2 linked regions of the Schizosaccharomyces pombe genome follow. The gene in region 2 interacts genetically with the main gene of each other region. Each region holds a gene or a part of one and is shown on either strand. Other genes may lie near its edges.

Region 1 (8,650 bases), on a different chromosome or scaffold from region 2:
CAAATCGCATGCAGAAAGATAATAACTTGGTCCGTCACTTACAAGCTTGTGAAACGATGGGAACAGCTACTAACATTTGCTCGGATAAAACTGGTACGTTAACCCAAAATCGAATGACTGTTGTTGCGGGTGGATTTGGCACAGATGTGTTGTTTTTTGATCATAATGATGAAACTCCTACCAACGTTGATCAGGGTTCCGATTCTTCAAAGTTCGAAGACGCTGGTGCTAGCGCATTCGCCTTTAAGCGCCTTTCCCCAGAACTTCGGGACTTAACTCTTTACAGTATTGCTGTCAATTCGACATGTCGACAGCTATTTGAGGATAATTCTGACACCCCAAGGTTTATAGGTTCTAAGACAGAAACAGCATTACTTGATATGTCAGTCAAAGAGCTGGGACTTACAAACGTCGATAGCATGCGTTCAAGCGTTGATATCAAGCAATTCTTCTCATTTTCCTCTGACCGCAAAGCATCTGGTGCTATATTTGAATACAAAGACAAGTATTACTTTGTAGTAAAAGGTATGCCGGAAAGAGTTTTGCAACAGTCTACATCAGTTATTACCAATGGCTCCCTTGACGAAGTTGAAGATATGCATTCTCATGCAGATTATTTTAAAGAAATGATCACTGGATATGCCAAAAGATCTCTTCGTACTTTAGGTTTATGCTATCGTGTGTTTGACTCTTGGCCTCCCAAAGATATTCCCACCAATGACGAGGATAGTTCTAATCCTTTGAAATGGGAAGACGCATTTACAGACATGACTTTCTTAGGATTTTTCGGTATCATGGACCCTATTCGGCCAGATGTACCTTTGGCTGTAAAGGTTTGCCAAGGTGCAGGGGTGACTGTTCGTATGGTTACTGGTGATAATATTGTTACTGCTAAGGCTATTGCTTCGCAGTGCGGAATTTACACAGAGGATGGAATATCCATGGAAGGACCGGAATTTCGATCTCTTTCTGATGAGAAACGCTTAGAAATCTTACCCAAATTAGATGTACTTGCACGCTCATCTCCTTTGGACAAACAGTTATTGATTGAAGGACTGCAGAAGCTTGGTAACGTAGTAGCGGTTACAGGTGATGGTACCAATGATGCGCCTGCACTAAAAAAAGCTAACGTCGGCTTTTCAATGGGTAAATCGGGAACCGAAGTTGCCAAGGAGGCGTCCGATATTATCCTTATGGACGACAACTTCTCGTCAATTGTGAAAGCAATTGCTTGGGGAAGAACCGTTAACGACGCTGTAAAAAAATTCCTGCAATTTCAAATTACCGTGAATATTACGGCTGTTTTCTTGACTATTATCTCTGCTGTTGCCTCGACTGACCAAAGCTCTGTTTTAACTGCTGTTCAGCTTTTGTGGGTTAATTTAATTATGGATACACTTGCTGCTCTTGCACTTGCCACTGACCCTCCTACTCCTGAAGTGTTAAAGAGGAAACCTGAGAAACCAGGTGCATCGCTTTTTACTTTTGACATGTGGAAAATGATTATTTGTCAATCTATGTACCAACTTGCTGTTACTTTGGTGCTACACTTTGCTGGTAATAGTATCTTCCATTACCCTTCCAATACTGCGGACATGAATACTATTGTTTTCAATACCTTTGTCTGGCTCCAGCTGTTTAACGAAATTAACAATCGGAGATTGGATAACAAGCTCAATATTTTTGAACGTATTAACCATAACTTCCTCTTTATTGCTATTTTCGTTATTGTTGCTGGTATCCAAGTTATAATTGTTTTTTTCGGAGGTGCCGCATTCTCCGTAAAAAGAATCGATGGTAAAGGATGGGCGATTTCCATCGTGTTTGGTGTTATCTCTATCCCACTTGGAGCCTTGATTCGTTGTGTACCAAACAATTTCCTAAGAAAGGTCCTTCCGGTTAAGACAATTGACACTGTTTTCTCTTGGATTCTAAATCCTAGGTTCCGTTCTAAGCGCCGTTCAACCGATCATGATGTTGAATCCCTTAGTCTTATCCCGTATGAACCCACATCTCCCAACGAAGTTATTGACTCTATTCGTCATTCCCTTGGCTTCGTTCAACGCATTAGAGGAGGAAGGATACGCCACCTACTCAACAACTCCAAATTTGATAAACAGATGGAAGCGCTTCCTGAACGTCTTCGTCCCCGTGTAAAACAGAGATTTATGAAGATCCGTTCACCTTCTGTTTCTTCAGCTACTAGCGTAGCTTTAATGATTCCTATCTCAACACTTGTTAGTGAAGCCAGCGGACGATTAGGTGGGCATGACATTTGGATTTCTCACAATCGCCAAGCTCTCGATAAAAAAAGCTCAAATGTTCATTAATTTAAGACGAATGTATGAGACAGAATAACAGTGATTCTATTATCGAATTTTTCTTTTTTATTTCCTTATTCTCGTTGGAAATCGCCTTCTTTTTCTATATTTGTTATCAATTAAAAGTTTGTTTCTTAGGTTTAAAAATTCCCTTTTTGTATAGAAAACGAGTCAGCTTTACCTTTTTCCTTATGTCTACTTTCTTTGTTTATCTTTATGAGTTACTTGGTTTTTGCCTATTAATGGTTTAGCCAGTTTGTTATATACCGCTTGAGCTTTAAGTTTTATGAATGAATAAAGAAAACTCCATTAATTAGAAACATGTTGTTTAACAGAAATATGAGGAAACAACGTACACGTATTTTGAAATAAAAAATGTAAACGTAACATAAAGTAAGGAATGAAATTATCGAATACTCTAGAATCAACGGAATCATCTAAAAGACAATGTGTGAGGATTAAGCATCAACACGGTTTGTTTAGTAGACTACAAAATTTTCAATTCTAAAACTCTTGGATAAAACTTGGGTATATGGTATATAATTAAGGACTTAGTTATCAAGGAGGAAAGGCTTGATGACATACTTGAAAACAGTCCTTGCATAAAGATGATAAGATTCAAAGAAAGAGAAGAAGAAAAAGAAGCTCTTTAAAAAGTAAATAAGTTATGATAATAAATAATAAAAGAAGAGCTCAACCTCATATTCAACAGAATATTTGCGTAAGAAAATTTATAAGAGCGTTCGTTAGTGACCATCATTTGTTAAAGAAGAAGACGGTTCTGATTGAAGGTCATCATCGTCCGTACGATTGACTGAGTATCGTTGACGGACGAGTTGATGAACAAAAATACTAGCCTTCAGGAACCTTTTTGAGGAGTATTTTTGGAAAAAGGCTTTGTGTTCTAGAGGCTTGTTATGATAATGAAGCATAATATACGCTATCTCCTTTAATTCATGCTCTTCATACCCACCAGAGCTTTCAACTAACTTTGGCGTCCATGGGCCGCGACGCAATAATCGGCGGCTCAAATACATTGCGGCAGCAGCAATTTTAGACATAGGATATCGTAATAAATCGTGGTCAAACAGATAAATTTCTGTTAGGTATTTCCCCAATGTCCTTGTTTGTGCATCATAACCTTCTGCTTGAGATATTTTGCGAAGAAAATTTAAAGGACTTGGATAGGACAAGTCAAAATTGAGAACATTTAACATATAACGTTCAGCGACACAGACATCTTCTACGGTAAAAGCACCATCAGTCATGTAAACAAAGTTTTGTATCGAAGGACACATAACCTCCTCATATTTGCTAGCGATGAGAAGAGCAGTAATGCCTGTTAATTGAAATTTAGACAAAGAGCATGAACGACGCGACAAGAATCGATCAATTATATTGACTGCCAAATAAAGGGTTTCGGGCATTAAACAAAAGTTGGAATGTATTTCCACCAACCATTCATTCAAAATTTCCCTCATTTTCCAGGTTAATTCTTTTTGTTGGTCCATATATTTTGGATTGGGAAGACACTTTAAATCCAGCTTTCTGATGTACTCAAATATTTCGGGTGCGTATTCCTCAGCCATCAAAGGATTGGAGGATAAATGATCATCAACATTAGAGACTCTGTCCTTTTGTAAAGTTTCTACAGATGGATCCGCATTTTTGCTATAAACTTTCAACTTTTTCACGAATTTAGATTCGACAGGTTTATCAGCTTCTTCATTTGTAGATAAATTAGATTCATCGAACGATCTTTTCGCTTTTTTCGTATCCTTCTCATCAGCATTATTTTTACCTACATTGGAAACATCAGATAGGACAGTTCGACGTGGCAGATTAATTTCAAAATTTGTAGATAATTTTGTCTTCTCAGTCCCTTTTGATAAAGCTTGTTTGCCAACAAGTGTGTTTTCATCTTGATAACTATGCTTATTGATTTTAGAACCAACAGGCTTTGAAATTGAATAGAGAGCCATATGAAATATGGATTGATAAATTACCCTTTTATCAACGTATAGAAATATATCTGATTGTTTGTAACCAAAAATGTCTTCTTTTTATTAAAATAAGGAAACTGTTTTTGGTAAATTAATCTCAATTGACAAGATGGATAAATTAGGGAAATTGAGCGATCGAGAAACAGAAAGCACTTATAGCGAATTTTTAAAGTTTCTCTTTTAAATGAGAATAAATCAATGGGTCCGAATTATTCTATTGTTGTTGATAGGAAGAAAGGGAAAGAAATCGTCCAAACATAAACAAATGAATTGTGTAAACAAACCAAACCAACCTACTGTTGTGGATATAAACGAAAAAAAAAAACAAGCAGATGTAATCAAAATTGAGAAAGAAAAAAAAGTAAAGATAAATTTTTTAACGTTCGATTCGAAAATGAATTTACCTCTTTGAGGTATGCAGAATTAACTCTTATAAAGCACAAGAGCGTAGTTTAAAGGGACAATGATTAACGAAGAGAATTAAAAAGAACACTTCTTTGTAATTAGTTTAGAAAAAGCAAAGTTGAAGGTTTGATAAACAAACGATGGATCAGAAAAAGCAGCACTAAGACGAACAATACAAGCAAATAAGTTTGATAGTTCGAATTTAAAAGAATAACAAATGTAGGTGTTATTTTTCCAGCAAGAAAAGCGAGTAAAACCTTTTCAGCTTGAGGGCGAGAGCAATGCTGAAAGGCTAAATAAATTGCAATTGGGAAGACTGTAGGATAGCAATTGTTGCACTAATATCGAAAGGGGACGATTAATTATGTTTTAATAAGATATAGTGTACTTGTTATAAGAGAAATGACTGTCTTTGGCAAGCGCCTCCTGTAAAAGAGTAGGACAATAAGCGAACCAGAACAAAGAAAACAAAGAAACTTAAAACGGTAAAGTACACAATAGAAACCGACACTTAGCAGCTGAAAAGTGTAAAAAATTAATTAAAAGAAAATAAGTACAGTAGAAATAAGATACTCCGGAGTAAAAACTAGCTTGACACTCAAAATACTGAAAGCTTAATTTACTATTGTTTACAGTTAAAACCAGCTCAACCTAGTATATGGAGCCTAAACTGATCCCTATAGCATGTATTTGAAAAAAGAAATTAGAAAGAAGGAATATTCAAAGAGAAAAGAAGAAACGCAAAAAGCAGCGACAACAAGAGAAGGACTTCAAGGTGGATCCAACCTTTGGTAGAGTCTTGTAAAAGGGAAATTACACTTGTACAAGTGCCTTTGAAGCCTTTCTTGTAACTCAACACAAGTCAAAGTGTCAGTGAAAAAGCAAAAGACAGGCATAGCAAGCATATAAAAGAAGTAAACGCGACGCGACGCGAGAAACGCGCTTTCGCGCAAGCTAAGTTGCGTGCACCTCGTTTTGGCGTGTTTTAGAGCGCGCGCTTTGGTGTAGCGTTTTGTATATTACAATTCACTATGCGCGTGCCGTCATTACATGCTACACAAACTAACGCAATTTGAATAGAATTAAAAAGGGAGAGTTCGCTAATACTTTATATCGCAGTTACACTATAATTCGCTATATGCTGAGCTTGGAAGGAATAATGTTGTTTGTCAAGAAACACAAGCATCTGTTAATAAAAGTTTGGTAAACGTCTCGTAACGTCGATAAGCCAGTACTTTATATAATCAAAGAAGAATTTTTAAATCATATCAGATAACCAATCGTAATGCTTTCTGTGAATTACACCTACCAAGACATTGTTCTGTGCAACAACATAAGCAAAATAAAACAGTATTCAGCAATAGCGCTTTAACATTAAATCTAATTTACGACATTTTTTTTAAAAAAAAAGTCAAGGAATAACAATAAGGCATAAATCACGACACTAATTTCCATTCTCTATGTCATTTGGATGGACATGAACATGAACATGATCGCTTTCAAATTGATATTGAGGTTGATCCAAAAAATAACTTCCGATAAAAATTATTTTTTCTTATAGAGCTCTTTTACATTATTTCCAACATTTTGTCATGAAAGGGCATGAACACAAAAAAGAGGAGAAACAGAATTTCAAAGCTTCATTAAAGAATATCAAGCGTACAGCAAAAAGATAATTGAATAACGTCTGATTGATATACATGGCCTGTGGTGTCAAGTTGACCAATAAACTAAAAAATGCACAAGACCGTGGTACGTTGTGCAAATTAATTTGCAATGTGGACTCAATCCTTTTTAGTAGTTTCCTCTTCACTATCCTTTGGCTGTTCAGGGGCCAAAGCATTTATTTCTTTTAGAATTTTGTGAAGCTCTCCTCTACAGACAAATTGTTAATACAGAAATGTTGACAAGGAGAAATAATTAAATATGAGAGAAAAAATGAGGGAGAGAACAATGTGGCATATATAGACGACGAATTAAAGACACTGATACACTAATAGTTGATTTTTATCCAATGCTTTAAAAGGGAAAGTTCATTTGAAGAAAGAGCGAAAATATAACAGGGTTTTTTTATCTTTAATATCAACTAGAGTGATTAAACAGTTGTAGAATCCTCCTTCATCATCTTTAACATTTCCTATGACACCTCCTCAATCCTCACCGTCTCTCTACCAAATAATAAAAATACAGTTTAAAACATTACTTACGATTTATGCATGGACGCCAAGATATCACTACCGCCCACGAATTCTCCGTTAATATAAAGTTGAGGAATCGTAGGCCAGTCGCTGAACTCCTTTATACCTTCACGTAGCTCATCATTACTCAAAACGTTGTACGTAACTAATTTATCGGAAGCAACGTTTTCTAATGAAAGAATTTGAATCGCCTTTAATGAAAATCCACACATTGGGCGGGTAGGTGTACCTTTCATGAATAAAACGATAGGATCCTCTTTGACGGCCTGTTCAAGAGCTTGACGAGTTTGTGTGGACAGCATGCGAAGTTGCATGGATATACTGGTTTTAGGAATCCAAAATCTAAACATCGAATTCATCTTGAATATGGATATTGTAAAGTGTTTATAATAAGGCAATTTTGAGCTTGAATGTCAACTCATTGATTCGCCGCAGATAAAAGTGTAAGAAGCCGTACCACGTTCTATTGCGCTATATAGAATTCTTCCAAGTCTTAAATCAGTATAATATTATAGAAAATCAGTACTTTTAGAAAAGTTTTATAAGAATATTTATTTTATTAGAAAAGTATATCGTGGGATAAAAGACTTAATATTGTACTAATCAGTTTCTGATTTCGAGAAGAACGCAGCTAAATCAAATTCCTTAATGAATATAGATTTTGCAATCCATCTGGCTCCCTTGGCCCTTTATTTCTATTAAAGGAATGTAAAAATATAATGGATCCTGGCTCTTTTCCGAAATTCCTGATAACTCATATTTGTTCTCTATAAAATATATGCATAGCTTCCGCTCCAACTTATGGTAGTTTATTATGTTCTTTGGGTCCTCTCTGTTTTCCAAAGTAAATATATTCCTCTTACTTTTACCTTATCCTTTGAAGTACTTTTACAGTTTTTTGCCTCTTTCCCTATCCGTCTCACTGAGCGATAGTAGTTCACAGGGTAATGAATAATGTAATTAACTATATAAGTCTGGAAATAACATATATATTATGTAGCTGTAAAACATTTACTAAGTAATGTATCCGCTTTTTTGTAATTCGTATGAGTTGAGTGTAAACTTGTTCTTGACAGTATTGTTCAAACATGACATATGTAATCCTCATCCATTTGCAAAAGTCCATTGTATACTCCTATAACAAACTAGGCAACCATATATCTCTTTTTTTTTTTAATCTATTCATTTTAATTAATTTGATAGTTTAAAAAAGATTTCTTCATATTAAAATTATTGAAATTTCCAACTAAGATTGCACCACTATGATTTGGTTTTGGTCAACTTTGTTAGTTACCGCAATAGCTGTATTATCCACTGCAAATGAATCCTCTTCTGGTCAAGAGAAATTAGCAGTTGAATCAATCCTTTTCGTCTTTGCTCATCCCGATGATGAATCTATGTTTTTTGGTCCCACCATCGACTATTTAGGCAATCAGCATTCTACTCGAGTTCATGTTTTGTGTCTTTCTAATGGTATGAAACAGTTGGTCCAGTTTTCCATTTTATCAATTATGTGTCGAACTAACTCCGATTTTAGGCAATGCCGATGGGCTCGGAAGCGTTAGAGAAAAAGAGTTGGTCGTCGCTGCTTCTAAGTACCAAATTGATAAAACCAATGTTCATGTTGTGTCAGATCCTCAATTGCAAGACGGTATGCAGGCAAAATGGGATCCAACCGATGTAGCGAAACACATTTCTCAAATAATTGAACGTTACAACATTA
Region 2 (7,116 bases):
AGCAATTGAAAGGCAAAATACCCATGAGACTTTGCTAATCCATCATTCATAATTATAGCATAAAATTCGTTCAGTATCAGAAAAACAATACCGTACACGTTATGTATCACAAATATTGTAATGTAATTTATCAAAGTTGATAAACCAATTAAGCCAAAAGTGTACACTACCATCGGTAAACGTAGATAGCGTGCCGGTATTTTGCTATGATATCCAAGATCCGATTTGCATAGAATTTATCTTTTGCACATTCTTAATCTAATTAAATTTGAATCATTTGACTTTATGTATCGTCCTACAACAACATCTTACTCTCCTGTGTATACGGGAAATCCCCTCTATGATATTTCTGCTTCGCAAAGCGATCCTCGACAACGAATCCGCAAAAATGTTCGGTTTCAAACAGAAGTAGATGAATTCCCAGACTTTGATGATAGCGACAGCGATGAGTTGCAGTTTGAAAACAGAGATCCTAGAAAGAGAATCGACCCCATAAAGCACATGCTGTTAGTTCAACGCTTAAAGCGTGTGTCTACTTCCTCTCGTCGACTTTTCATCTTTACTCTCTCAATGTTTCTAATCGCTTTCATCTTATTAATTGCTTTTGTTTCCTTCCGGGATTAAATTAACTCTTAACAATGTTTAGAGCAAGAGCTTCATTCGTTTTGTTGGTACTTTGGATCTTCGGTTGTTCCCTATGGTTTTTTTCTTTTATCGCATTCCCAGTGCGCAAGGACTTGTGAAAAATTTTCGCACCTTCAATTGTACATATTTATATCCCTTGTAAATGCGTCTCTTTTTGTTCTCGGTTAGCTTGCTTGTTTTACAAACCTGTTTCCTAACTTGTCTTTTCTACATTTGTTTTCGGTTTTTCTTTAAAAAAAAAAAAAGAGAAGGACTACTTGCTTTTCATCAATTTTTTATATTATATAAAAACATAAAGAAAAACGAAGAAAAATTGCAATTTTTTGATGAAATTGTGCTGTGATCTGTTTCCTTAATTTTTGTTCTCTTTAATCTCAACAATCTATTGAATACTAAGTTTAAGTATGGTTGTTTATTCTTTTAATCCTAGTCATGGTTACTCATTAATATTCGTTTTTCAATTAATTGAAAAGTTACTTATTTAATTGAGAACGTAAAAACATAATCATCAAGCATTTTTCTTCAACATTTACTTAAGTTACCCTTGACATTGTCCTCACTTATTAATATGTATGTCGTCAAAGCATATAGGTCCAAGTGGTTCACCATTTATTTCTAATTTTTTATTTAATTATTTCTTTTGATTGTGACTACTGCGACACAATAAATAAACAATTGTCTAGTCCAACTAGACCCTTAAATACTTTCTGTATCAGTGATCATTGTAGCTGCGTTACTTAATCTTTCGTATATATTTCTAGTATTTCTGACTGTACATATCACTAATTACATTCCTTAATTTTACTAATAACTAATTTGCCTAATAACATGTGTATAGTTTATTATTGCAATAAAATTTATTAATTTGCTCTAGCGCGCATCCTATTATTACAAATTGCAGAATCGTAAACCTTTTCCTAAAGAAATATTACCCAAGAACCACAATCCAACAAAAGAGAGACACTAACCTATTTCCAAGTTCTCTCGAAAAAAAGAAACACAGACTCGTAAAAAAAGATCCATCATTGATTTTTAAAATCATGAGCTCAAAGCCTGTAGAAATTTTCAACATATCAATAGATATATATAAAATATGTATAATATATGTCATTTTGTATGCCCGTCGTATTCGTACATCCATTTCGTCAATGCAAATGTTTCAAATATGCATATTCTATTTAAAAAGTCCCGTGAATAAATCATGCACGCATTGACTTCTGAAACTTTCGCCTCATCTTATTATGCAATAAAACACAACACCGCATACTAAATTTTGCCGGATCGTTTTTACATAACGCTTCCACAACCGCAACGATTAAAAAGCACACCCAATGAGCATCCGTCCAAGCCCAGCTTAAAAATGAAAAAAACCGGACCTAAACAAAAGACGTTTCGTGCAACTCACTCAATCACAGTTAATTAAAGCCAAATATTTCGCCCTTTCTGACATCCTCGCGCTTTGCAAATGTCAGCAAAACAATGGACACAATACTTCGGCCTCTGACTAAAGGAAATCATCAGAAGCCTGTGCATAACACAGATGCACGTAACCCAATAAAAATATTTTTTTAGGAAATTTACCACCAGGATTGAGCACTACCACTGTTGTAAGTGTTACCATGATGAGGAGTACGGCTTTCAAAGCCACCGTATCCAGAGTAGCTAGGGCCAGAGCTATAACCACTACTACTATTAGTAGGGCGACGGAAGTCGCGAGCACCATAAGCATTGCCTCCACGACCACCACGACCACTGTAACGGCCACCACGTCCATTACCACCAAAGCTGCTTTCACGAGCCATGGCGATCAAAAAGCTGGGGCACTCTTGATTGGCCTCTTGCAACAACTCAATCAATTCCTTAGCGATACCCTTGTTGTTACGGTTGAAAAACGCAACAGCTTGACCAGTGTTACCAGCACGACCGGTACGACCAATTCTATGCACATAGTCATCAATGTCAGTAGGTAAATCGTAGTTAATAACATGCGTGACATTGGGAATATCTAAACCACGACTGGCGACGGCAGTAGCGACCATAATGGAAGTACGGCCAGAGCGGAACAATTCCAAAGCGCGCTCACGCTCACGTTGGGTACGGTCACCGTGAATGCTTGTTGCGGGGAAGTTGCTATTCAACAAATAGTCGGTAAGTGTGTCAGCCATGCGTTTAGTCTCTACAAAGATCAAGGTAAGACCCTCAGGAGGTAAGGTGTGAAGAATATCAAGCAAGTAACTACGCTTTTCAGAATCTTCAACGTGTACGACCTTTTGAGTAATATTCTCCGAAGTGGAACCGACACGACCAACACTCAAGAAGACATAATCCTTTAAAAAGTCACGAGCTAAAAGTTGGATATCACGGGGGAAAGTGGCAGAAAACATGAGAGTTTGACGTTCTTCAACGCTTGTCATGTCAGCACCTTCCACAATGTGACGAATTTGAGGCTCGAAACCCATATCCAGCATACGATCAGCTTCATCCAACACCAAAAACTTAATGTTGGCCAAAGAAATACGACCACGATCGATTAAATCAACCAAACGACCAGGAGTAGCAGAAAGCAAGTCGCAACCTTGGTCAATTTGGCGGATTTGAGCACGAATATCGGCACCACCGTAAACAGCACAGGGACGCACCCAAGAACGGTAACAGAATTTACGAGATTCCTCATGAATTTGACAAACTAATTCACGAGTGGGAGCCAAAATAAGGGTGGTAGGATAGGCTTTGCGAGGACGATAACCCATACCGGCATCCTGATCAACAGGAACAGCGGCAGGTCCTTTATCGAAAGCAAGAGAAAGAATAGGGAATAAGAAACCAGCAGTCTTACCGGAACCGGTTTGGGCACAGGCCATCAAATCACGTCCGGATGTGACAATAGGAATGGAGTTCTTTTGAACTGGGGTGGGCTGAGTGTAGCCAGAGAGTTTAATGTTTTGAAGAAGATGAGAGTTCAAAGGAGGAGAAGTGAACTCATTAACAGGCTCGATATCTCCACCGGAAACTTCAACAGGGATGTCATCATACTTTTCGAAGTTAATACCAGTTGAAACTTTGGTACCATCAGCAACGGCACCAAATAATTGACGCTCCAAAAGAGTGTTACGGGCTCCGATAACGTGTTGACCATCTCTCCATTGGCCAAATCCACGGTTGTTACGATAACCACCGCCGTTGCTGTAACCACCTTCACGACCGCCACGGTAATTATTTTGGCGGCCCTCGCCACCACCATAATGACCGCCACGATTGTATTCACGGCGACCTCCATAGTTAGAGGAAAACTCACTAGGAGTTTGAGACCTAGAAGAGCCACGAGATGAGACAGACTCATCGTCGCCAACAGCTGGAGCTGCGCCAGCGCTTGGCTTATCCCTAGCAAAAGGAGGAATATACTTCCTAGGTCTGCTGATGTTTGTTTTTTGCAATTTTTCAGTCACAGAACCAACTGAATCTACTTGTTGCTGTACATTGTCGCTCATAATATTTTTTGTATTTCTGAGTTGAAGTGTTTGGTTGAGGTTAGGTTAAGTTGGCCATTAAATGCTACCAAATACACGATGGGACTGCCCTTTTTAACCCCTCAGCAAATTAGATATGTCAACGAAAACAATTTTTAACAAGGATAAAAAGTCATTTAAACAATTTAAAATTATTTTTTAGTTAATTTTGATACCAATATGTATGGGTATTAATAGTTTTTTTGAAACCTTAAGTCAGTACACGTGCTATCATCTGACTACGTTAAAGAATAAAAATTAATTGAAAGGTTTTACTATATAAATATATTTATAATCTATATAACTAAACATTTAGGCACCGTAATGTAGGTACACGATTGCCACTCACCAAAACTAAAAACCACCGTTATGCTCGTCTCTAAATAGCAGACTTAGTATACATATTAATCATTTTAATTGGAATAAGAAAATTCAACTTTCAAATTTACAATTATTAGCATACAGTTTGCTTTCTGTTTAAGGTCGTAGTGATATTCAGGAGTACCAGCCATGGTTTTGCTGTCTTCCCATACCAACCAATACTACAAAATATAGAAATTGATATTTTTATTGTGCCTTGCAACTTAAGAAATTGCTAAAACCTTTAGGCAGAAGCTTTGTAAGCGGTGCTGTGCATTAAAACCGTATTTATTCGACAAATCCGAACATATTTATCTATATTGAAGAAGTCCAAAGAAAATCACATTTGTTAAGATTATTAGATACGACATAATTAAAAGCGTTTTTCAAAATGATTGTCCTTAATGCTCTGTCGTACTTGGGTATCGTTTTGGGATTCATAGGCATGACCGTGAGTATCGCATCAGCTTTGTATTACATTTCAGAGTTTGTAGAAGAGCACTCTAGGCTCGCAAAGGCGTTTTTATGTCGGTTGGTTTATTTTATTATGGCGGTAATGGTGTTTTTGGTTATATTTGATGGTTTTCCTTTTTGGCTCTCGGCATTCTCCATTTTCAGTCATTACATTTATAAAATCAACTTTGATACCTTTCCTTTCTTCTCATTTAAGAGAATGAGATTTTTGCTAGCATGTTTCCTTATTGTCGCGAATCATATCTTATGGGTCCGCTTTTTCCAGGTGCATGAATTCCCTATTAAACCTCGTGGACTCACTTACGATTTTGTTGGTCAACGCCTTTTGACCTCTCGTGCTTCCTTTTCACAAGTTGCTTCATTTATGGGGGTATGCGTATGGTCTGTTCCTATTGGTATTTTTGTTTCCTTTACCGCTGCTGACAATACACTTCCTACCATTACAACCCCGTCTTCCTCGTCCCCTGATGCTTATTCTTCTGGATCATCTCGTCGGACGTCGAATGTACTTCGACAAGCTTATAAAAAGTTAGGTATCTTCGTCGAACGTAGTCTTACCTCTTTGGGGTTGAGTGATCGTTCAAGTGAACGTTACGTCTGAGTTGAGTTTGAGGGATGCTTGTCTTTTTAAATTAAGGATTCGTTTAACTTTACTGTAATGTCTGTACTTCTTATGTGATCATTTACTCACAACATGTTGCATCTCTTTTTTTTTTCGACTTTTATTTTGTATATAGTTTTCTTCATACTTTCTTCATCAACACTTTAACTTTTTCTCGGTCAGTTTGAGCGAACAAAATTATCCTTCTTTTACGTTTTGTCGTTGTTCTTTAGGATTGCCTATTGTTATTTTTTTCAACATGGAAATTGTATTGTCAATTTGACTTAAATTTCATCTCGGACGTGTAGAAAATGCATTTAAAGGAAATAGATGACGCCTTTTCATATTCATATGAAACGGAGTTTTTTACGTCTTGTTCATAACGATTTTATCAATAAAAATTAACATGATAGAAAGCTAAATATATCCAAGTAAACCCTAGCCACTTGTAAAATTGATAAAATACACATTTAATTAATCAGTATCGACTATATAATACCGAGTCCTAAAAATACAGCAGACATCATCATAATGACCATAGCACTTAACGGAGAAAACGAATTTCCAGCATTTGCAACCGCATTCTGAGAAATCAAAGAGATGTTGAAGGACGGAATAGCTGAAGAGGGCATACTACTACTACTTGTATAGGAATAAACGACGCTTTCCGAAATATTCACAGCAGACAACGATGTGGATGTGAAGTGACTAGTCTGAACCAATTGAGTAGATGCCACACTCGTAGGATATTGCGAACAAGTTAGAGCACCAGGAATGTGTTGATCCACGATGGCGGACAAGTTGGATGTTGCGTTATAAAAGGCTTGCCCAATGGCAATCATTTTTTGACTTTGATGATAAAATGTGTAGGCGTTTCGAAAAAATAACAAACCTAATACAATCTCACTATCCGTCGAAGGTCGAATACCTAAAAGACATATGTTTGAAACTTGCCCAATCACTAGCAACGATATCGGTACCTTGATAGTTGAATTACATCCAAATTGAAATATCAGAGCGGCTTCCAAATCAATTTCATCACAGTTTAATGCGAAATAGCCTTCGGATAAGTAGGCACCAGCATTATCCATCACACTGTAAGCCAATTCGGCAGGCAAATAAATATAAGTTTCACGAGTTTGAAAGTATGCATCAGTGATGATAGAATAATTAGAAAAGAACGTAGAGTTTAAGAACTGCACAGAGTAAATGGAAACGGCGTAATGCGTAAGCTTAGTCTGCTTCAAAGCGACAAACTGTCCCTGGTACTTTGACGTATCCACGGCTCCCAAAAGTAAACTTCCATTACCCTGATTATCCAGATACATACTAAAAGCAGGGTATGCCAATATATCCTCTTTAACTAGTTGTTCCAAAAAGGTTGGTGGTGAAAAACTTGAAATGGAATCCGAATAATCTATTGAATTAATTTCGGTACTGGCAGCTAAACCTAGCACGCCTTTGTACGGCAGCATTGAACTGGGAACATACTCCTTTAATGTGATGCCGAATTGGAAGTCCGGTAAAGCT

The links. Genes that interact genetically often act in the same process or in processes that back each other up.
Region 1: of sum3 (region 2) and cig2, changing one suppresses a phenotype caused by changing the other (phenotypic suppression), as found in Schizosaccharomyces pombe (2 studies listed by BioGRID).

The regions. Positions count from the first base shown.
Region 1 is NC_003424.3:2,706,733-2,715,382, reverse strand, and holds cig2 (G1/S-specific B-type cyclin Cig2), read right to left. Parts: upstream 5,602-8,650; 5' UTR 4,304-5,601; coding exon 3,068-4,303; 3' UTR 2,331-3,067; downstream 1-2,330. Other genes in the region: P2 type calcium transporting P-type ATPase Pmc1, read left to right, coding at 1-2,330; mitochondrial [2Fe-2S] cluster assembly and transfer glutaredoxin Grx5, read right to left, coding at 6,514-6,604, 6,937-7,286; gpi12 (pig-L family GPI synthesis protein), read left to right, coding at 8,190-8,400, 8,465-8,650. UniProt on the Schizosaccharomyces pombe protein: Essential for the control of the cell cycle at the G2/M and G1/S (mitosis) transition. Interacts with the cdc2 protein kinase to form MPF. Interaction with res2 promotes the phosphorylation of res1 and inhibits MBF-dependent gene transcription.
Region 2 is NC_003421.2:972,539-979,654, forward strand, and holds sum3 (translation initiation RNA helicase Sum3), read right to left. Parts: upstream 4,176-7,116; 5' UTR 4,134-4,175; coding exon 2,223-4,133; 3' UTR 1,461-2,222; downstream 1-1,460. Other genes in the region: SPOM_SPCC1795.12C (uncharacterized protein), read left to right, coding at 286-624; protein SVP26, read left to right, coding at 4,903-5,586; yapsin Yps1, read right to left, coding at 6,075-7,116. UniProt on the Schizosaccharomyces pombe protein: ATP-binding RNA helicase involved in translation initiation. Remodels RNA in response to ADP and ATP concentrations by facilitating disruption, but also formation of RNA duplexes. Inactivation of ded1 blocks mitotic cell cycle progression at G1 and G2/M.